2 linked regions of the Sus scrofa genome follow. Each later gene encodes a partner of the first gene's protein in a complex. Links are inferred from orthologs where the notes say so. Each region holds a gene or a part of one and is shown on either strand. Other genes may lie near its edges.

Evidence for each region.
Region 2: the proteins of REV1 (region 1) and POLH are in contact, whole or in part, in an NMR structure (PDB 2LSK), measured with the Homo sapiens proteins. The link is inferred for Sus scrofa from reciprocal best matches to the Homo sapiens genes REV1 and POLH. Residues at the interface, in NP_057400.1 of Homo sapiens: Asn1158, Leu1159, Ala1160, Gly1161, Leu1171, Leu1172, Trp1175, Ile1179, Asp1181, Pro1182, Met1183, Glu1185, Asp1186, Gln1189, Val1190; in NP_006493.1 of Homo sapiens: Thr528, Glu529, Pro530, Phe531, Phe532, Lys533, Lys535, Ser536, Leu539.

Annotation. Positions count from the first base shown.
Region 1 is NC_010445.4:54,855,429-54,859,245, forward strand, and holds part of REV1 (DNA repair protein REV1), read left to right. Parts: intron 1-121; coding exon 122-224; intron 225-1,298; coding exon 1,299-1,464; intron 1,465-1,599; coding exon 1,600-1,802; intron 1,803-3,553; coding exon 3,554-3,787; intron 3,788-3,817. UniProt on the Homo sapiens protein: Deoxycytidyl transferase involved in DNA repair. Transfers a dCMP residue from dCTP to the 3'-end of a DNA primer in a template-dependent reaction.
Region 2 is NC_010449.5:38,572,111-38,575,927, reverse strand, and holds part of POLH (DNA polymerase eta), read right to left. Parts: intron 2,730-3,817; 5' UTR 2,726-2,729; coding exon 2,589-2,725; intron 2,349-2,588; coding exon 2,214-2,348; exon of another isoform or gene 2,153-2,213; coding exon of another isoform or gene 2,133-2,152; intron 1-2,132. UniProt on the Homo sapiens protein: DNA polymerase specifically involved in the DNA repair by translesion synthesis (TLS). Due to low processivity on both damaged and normal DNA, cooperates with the heterotetrameric (REV3L, REV7, POLD2 and POLD3) POLZ complex for complete bypass of DNA lesions.

The sequences.
Region 1 (3,817 bases):
TTTCTGGTAACTTTCTTTGCAACTTTAACTCTTTAAACAGTTCCGTACTGCTGAGGTACTAGTGAATACATACAGAATGCAGCTTTCGTTCCTTTTAAAAAGTTAATTCTGTCACTTACAGGACCGTAACTCTTGACCAGGCAACAGATAGTGCAAAAGTAATTGGAAAGGCTACGCTAAACATGTTTCATGCAATGAAACTCAACATATCGGATATGAGAGGGGTAAGTAGGTACCATTTTAAAATAGGACCCTGTGTCGTGTTTTTCTTGATCGTGGTATGATCTGAGGCCTTCATGTGTGAGATGCAGAGGGGTTTATATGCAGTCTTTTCAGCTCCACTGATGTAATACGAGAAGAGAAACTGAAAGCCTCTTGACTTTCTCACCTGAGCTGGTCCCCGTACTTAAGAGTTACTTGAGTTCTGAATCCTCTTTCTGCTTAGAGTAACAAGTGTCCTATCTTGAGTTGTTAGGTACCTTCCTTTTAAACAACCAAGGGCCTACTTTGCCTGCAGTGTCTTGCTTCCTGCCCTTGTTCCCCTAGAGGTAGGTGGGTCGGCGGGGGGGTGGGGGGGCGCGCCAGCGTGAAGCCGCCTGTAATTCCTGACTTCTGAGGGCCTTTTAGTCTACTGTCTGATAGATGATCTTCAGGGGGAATTTACCACAGGTGTATTAAGGTGCCTTTGCAACAGATTGGTGAGAGGGCATCAAAAAATGTGAGAATCTTAATTTTTTTCAAGATGAGCCTGTGGGTGGTTGTATTTAGGTACACACATGAGTAGAGGCCGGTCACGGACTGGGCGTGGGTTTTGTGGAAGGAGCAGGAAATTAGTTCCTAAGCCTGCTGGGGTGGGGCTCCATGCCAGGGCTGTGCTACCCAGCACATTTGGCTCCTCTGCACAGAGTACTGCAGGGACCCACTCCCCCAACCCCACCCCACCCCACCCCACAAAGCTGGTTTTCACTCACAGAGCACTGCATCTTAAAAAGACAAATGATAGATGAAGTTGCAAGTACACTGTCCCCCATGTAAACATTTTTATAATCTTATTTTAAAAACATAATTGATGAGAACTTCAGTGGGATATAGTACTCCACTTTTTTGGATTTTCTGATTGTGAAGCAATCATATTTGGGTAGAAGTGGATACTCCTTAGATTGAGGTGAGTAATTGCTCACTAGCTAGTACAGAGGTGGTATTTGAAATAAATCATAGAAACACTTTTGAAGGTATTCCGTTTGAATACTTTCATTTAACCTTTTTCCGTAGAAACCTATTTGTTATTCTGGTTCTAGGTTGGGATTCTAGTGAATCAGTTGGTTCCGACTAATCCGAACCCTTCAGCTGGTCCCAGTCACCCAGCAGTGCAGTCGAGCCACTTTCCTGGCAGCTCACACTCTGTCCTCGATCTCCTCCAAGTTCAAAAAACGAAGAAGCCCCCAGAAGAGGAGCACAAGGAAGGTCAGTGTCGTCAGGAGGCTGTTAGTGTCCACGTTGTGTGGCACAGCTCCATGTGACTTCAGGACCAGACTGACATTCTGAACTAAGATGCCCCCTCCCTCCCCACTACCCGACGCTATTTTCTGTACTTTTCAGTATTTCTAGCTGCGCTGGATCTGGAAATATCATCCGCCTCCAGCACTTGCACTTTTTTACCATCTCTTTCTGCACATCCGACATCAGGTGCCAGTGCTGCCACCAGCAGAGCGGAGCCCTCAGGGAAGTGGAACGGCCTGCGCTCTCCCCTCAGTTTAAAGTCAAGACTTAACCTTAGTATAGAGGTCCCGTCGCCTTCCCAGGTATATTTTCTTTTCTTTTCTTTTCTTTTTTTGTCTTTTGTCTTTTGTCCTTTTAGGGCTGCACTTTGGGCATATGGAGGTTCCCAGGCTAGGGGTCTAATTGGAGCTGTAGCCACCAGCCTACACCAGAGCCACAGCAACATGGGATCCGAGCCACGTCTGCAACCTACATCACAGCTCGCAGCAGTGCCGGATCCTTAACCAACTGAGTGAGGCCAGAGATCGAACCTGCAACCTCATGGTTCCTAGATGGATTCGTTAACAACTGAGCCACGACGGGAACTCCCCCAGGTATATTTTAAACATTGTAAATAGGACTGAAGTACAAAGCGGATTCCCAACAGGAAGAATGTTTTTCATTTCTGTATCAGTACAGAGCTAGGAAAGGGAGGAGGGGTACCTGCTGGGGCGAGCCCTGGGGTCACCAGATCCCGGATGGGGAATAATCAGCTTAGGGCCAAGATGACGCTTTTGCCAAGACCTGCAGCTCCTGCAGGCTTTAAAACACAGGTGAGAGCTGGTTCTGTGAATGGCTGCTATCAGCAGCCACCATCTGTCTCCCAGTGGTAATCCCGGGGACCTAACTGTCCAGCAGCACGGCTTTGGTGCGCATTAGTAGAGGCCTTAGGCCAGAGGTTTTTCTCGCAGCATTTGCCAACAGTTTCCTCTGCGGGGTGAATCCTTTTCCTCACCCAAGCCATGAACTCTGAGTGGGCTCCAGCTGTGGAATGCTGTTGGCATTTTTGCTCCTTGGAAACTTAAAATAGCACTCTAAACTCTGCCGGGAAAATCAGTTTTCTTTTCCCCTAAGGCTGAGGTAGGAGGCTGAGGATGTGCATGCTGCATCTGAGGCTGGGGAAGGGATCTTGCCATGTGCTTGTGTGGGGTCCCTGGGGCTGGGGGGCTCCCCAGAGGGGCCACCTGGGCTTAGGGACCTGCATCTTTCCACAGGTGGGCAGACGATTCTAGTGTGTGGCTTCTAGAATCCCTTTTGACTAGCTCGATGCTCAGCCTAAATGTGTTTATAGTTGGGGGCAGATAGTATCCTGTCTAAAAGGTAAACTTCCGACCCAGGACCATTACTCCTTCCCAGCAGTTGGGCATGTGCCTGGGGCACTGGCCGCTCCCCCTGAGTGTCACCAGGACTCTGCCTGTCTGCCTGCTCTTGGGCCAGAGGTTCAGTGAGGACATTTGGCTTAGCTGACCCTGTGGTACTGGGCAGTGGCGTGCACCTGCCATCTGCAGATTCCACGCATGGCTGACGAGGCTTCAATGACAAAAACCCAAAGACATTCCAAAAATGTGCTGGTTCTTAGCAAAAAAAACCAACCCCCCCCCCAAAAAAAATTCCCATTGTGGCTCAGTGGTAATGAAATATCCATGAGGCTGTGGGCCCAATCCCTGGCCTTGCTCTCAGTGGGTTAAGGATCCAGCCTTACTGTGAGCTGTGGTGTAGGTCGCAGGCACCAGCTCAGATCCCACGTTGCTGTGGCTGTGGCACAGGCCGGTGGCTACAGCTCTGATTCGACCCTTAGCCTGGGAACCTCCATATGCCGTAAGTGTGGCCCTAAAAAGAAAAAAAACAAAAAAACAAAACCAACCAAACATGCTGGTTGGGGGAGTGGCTCTCCTCGCCCCACCACCTGCACCTTCCATTCTCTGTTGAGAACGTTCACATTGAAGTGACACATTAACTCCCGACACATCGTCTCTGTGCACGCTGTAACGTCACACTGTCTGCTGTTTCACAGCTCGACCCGTCTGTTCTGGAAGCTCTTCCACCTGATCTCCGGGAGCAAGTGGAGCAAGTGTGTGCTGTTCCGCAAGCAGAGCCACATGGTGACAAGAAGAGAGAGCCAGTCAATGGCTGCAGTACAGGAATTTTGCCGCAACCAATTGGGACAGTTTTGTTACAAATACCAGAACTTGAAGAATCTAACGGGGATACAGAAATTAGTGTAATAGCCCTGCCAGCGTTTTCCCAGGTGGGTTAAGTGGAGGGCTCATCTTCCACT
Region 2 (3,817 bases), on another chromosome or scaffold:
AAGAACTAGTATAATTATTGTTTTAAAACATTCTCAAATGGTAGAGAAAGAAAAAACTAGAGAAAGATTTTGCTTTTTGTCTTTTAATCATTTGTTGGGCTGGACAGAGAACAGTCAGACTCAAAGAAAAAAAAAGAGTGGGATCATGCACAAGAACATAGGCACACAATATACTCACACATCTACAGAGCAAGGAAAGGATACTCTACTGTAGTAGTTTGTGTTCCTCCACTGACTCTGAAGTAGTTACTCCAAGGTATTTTTGAAATTATTTCAGGAGTTCCCATCGTGGCGCAGTGGTTAATGAATCTGACTAGGAACAATAAGGTTGTGGGTTCGATCCCTGCCCTTGCTCAGTGGGTTGAGGATCTGGTGTTGCCATGAGCTGTGGTGTAGGATGCAGACATGGATGGAATCCCGCGTTGCTGTGGCTCTGGCGTAGGCTGGTGGCTACAGCTCCGATTGGACCCCTAGGCCTGGGAACCTCCATATGCCACAGGAGTGGCCCTAGAAAAGGCAAAAAGCCAAAAAAAATAAATAAATAAAATAAGATCATTTCATAAACTTAGAGCATATATATGTTTTTGCAAATCATATTTTTATTGTTATAACCTAGTATCTCAGTTTAATTATTAAAATAGTAATTTAAATTATTAGGTCTTAATAACTCTCTGGTCTACTTTACTCCTAAATTTTCTGAAACTGCCTTTGTTCATTATTTAATGAAGATTTTTTTTTTGATGAAGATATTAAGAGTAAAATAAATTTTAAAAAAGGTAAAATAAATGATCTAAATCACATCCTGAAGTCAACTATATTTCTAGGAAGTTTCTCTGTCTTTACCAGCATAAAATTCTATTCAATGAAATGTAGTATAAGGACATTAGCTAAATTAATTCTACTTTAGGATTAGGGTGTTCATCTTTTTTTTTTTTTTTTTTTTTTTTTGTCTTTTTGCCTTTTCTTGGGCCGCTCCTGCGGCATATGGAGGTTCCCAGGCTAGGGGTCGAATCACAGCTATAGCCACTGGCCTACACCAGAGCCACAGCAGCGCAGGATCCGAGCCGCATCTGCGACCTACACCACAGCTCACGGCAATGCCGGATCGTCAATAGGGTGTTCATCTTAAGTCTAATCTCTCTCTGTCTCTCTTTTTTTTGGCCACACCCATGGCATGCAGAAGTTCCTGGGCTAGGGTTTAAACCTGCCACAGGAGTGGCTGGGGCCACAGCAGTGAAATGCACTATGCCACAAGAGAACTTCAAATCTCTTCTTTTCTGGCAATAACTCCAATGTGAGGAGGTTGGCTGTGACACTCCACCTTTAGACTAATTTATAGGTGAACTCAAGAACACCTCAAGTTCCAATTCAAAGCATGATCACACATCACACAGTGTAGTGTACTGCGAGAATGTGGAAATCTGAAAAAAACGGAAACCTTTTACTTTCTAGCTATGAGAACTTAAATTATTTAACCTCTCTAAACTTGTTTCCTCATCTATGTGTGCGCACACGTGTGTGTGTGTGTGTGTGTGTGTGTGTGTGTGTGTGTGTGTGTGTGTAGGGGAGGGAGGAGTGGAGAGTGGGGTAATACTAAAACCTACCTTTTAACAATGTGTTATTTAAGAGACATTGCCAGTGAATGGCATATGACATATGCTCAATATATATGAGCTCTTAGAATGTTACAACGGCTGGGGCTTGTAGCTACCTCTAACCTGGCCATGCCTATACTAATGTCTCTCATTCCAAAGCTAACTTTCTAAAATCTGGGAGAGGTAGCTCAGTTCAAAAACAGAGAAGGTAAGCTTCTTCGAGATTGTTCAGTTCTGGCAAATGATTCCAGATACTGTGCTAGAATGTGAATCTGACTTTAGCCTTCTCTGGAAAAACTCTTAGTTTTCACAGTCAATTCAATTACTCCAAATACTTCAGACTTTTGGCTTTACAACATGGGAACTGATATTAAGTCTTAAATATAACAACCAATTTTTAAATAACTAAGGAACTGAAAGGGCATTAAAGGTAGCAATTATTATAAGTAATAATGACTCTGAATTGTTCTTAAAACACAGCATTAAAATTTTTTCATTTCACACTGACTGAAAAGGAATTTTTTCAGAGTTACTTACACAAAACAAATTAGAAACATTAATTCTAAGCCTCATGAAACTCTTCCCAGTCTTCCATTCCCTGTAATCTTTGTTTCTTACTTGGTGAGGTTAGCTTTTCCACGGGACTCAAGAACTTGTGCCAGGAGAAGATCTGGACATAACTTCTTAGCATCATCTGCCCACATGCTTTTAGTGACCCCAAATGCACGAGCTTCATAACTTACTGAAACTATTCTATGGTTAGGAAAAAAGGGGAACAAAAAAATAATACATGATCACAAGCAAAAATCATTAAAATTTAACAGGATGAATAAGCTATAAACTTCATAATAGAAACTTTTAGGTCACTGATACTACTATTCACTCTCAATCACAGCAGTTGAGAAATCTCAAATGTAGGACCTAGCATAGTGCCATGTATTCTTACAGATAAAAATAGCAGTTGAAAGTTATAACAGTAACTACGGTACATACCCGCCACCCTTCCATGATTTGTACTGCACAACTGCACAAGGTTTATTCTTCAGATGAGGATTTTGCCGCTGCTCCACCTGAACAAAAAAACAGTCCATGTCCAGTAGAGCAACTACCCGGTCTTGTCCATTAGACATTTTTCTGTAAGACAAAATTTTATGGATGGTTAGAAAGGATACCTAAGCCAAAGTACCAAGAAAAATTACATCGTCAGTCTTCCATTGCTGAATTATCTAAACATGGGAGCATGGAAACTAACGAGAATGAAACAGACATTTTCATACATTGCTGGTAGGAGAATAATAAGTTGATACAACTTTAGGAAGGTAATAATATTAAAAGCTTTAAAAATACCCATCCCCCAAAAGAACTGACACCTTACAAAAGAAACGAAGAGTCAACAGACATATGAAAACGGGCTCAGCATCATTAGTCATAGGGAAATGCAAATTAGAACCACAATGCACATCAGTGGAGGGATAAGGCCAACAGTTAATTTAGTTTAAAGACAAATCTCAAATACCAATTCAGGCAAAAGAGAAGCAGAAAATGATATATAATATCATAGCAGCCATGTGAATTTTTAAAACTTTTTATTCTGAAATGCTTTAAAACTTACAGGAAAATTGCAAATATAATAGGGCTCTCCTACACCCACTTCCCCCTAAGGCTAACATTAACACAGCACAATTATTAAAACTAAAAACGAAAACTGGTATAACATTCACACTACTTTACTTGAATTTTACTAGTTATTCCACTAATGCCCATTTTTGGTTCCGGGATTCAATTTAGTCATCATGTCTCCTTAGTCTTCTCCAATCTGTGACACTTCATGTTTTTCATGTTCTTGGCACTTTTTTTTTTTTTGGTCTTTTTTTGTCTTTTCTAGGGCCACACCCACAGTACATGGAGGTTCCCAGGCTACGGGTCTAATCGGAGCTGTAGCTGCCAGTCTACGAAAGGAACTCAGGATCCGAGCAGAGTCTGCAAATACACCATAGCTCATGGCAACACCGGATCCCTGACCCAATGATCGAGGCCAGGGATCGAACCCGCAACTTCATGGTTCGTAGTCGGATTCGTTAACCACTGAGCCATGACAGGAACTCCCCTGCACTTTTGAAGGGAACTACTAAGTTACTTTGAGAATATCTTTTCAATTTAGGTTTGTTTGCTGTTTTCTCTTCATTAGACTGAGGCTATGCATTTTGGGCAAGAATATTATG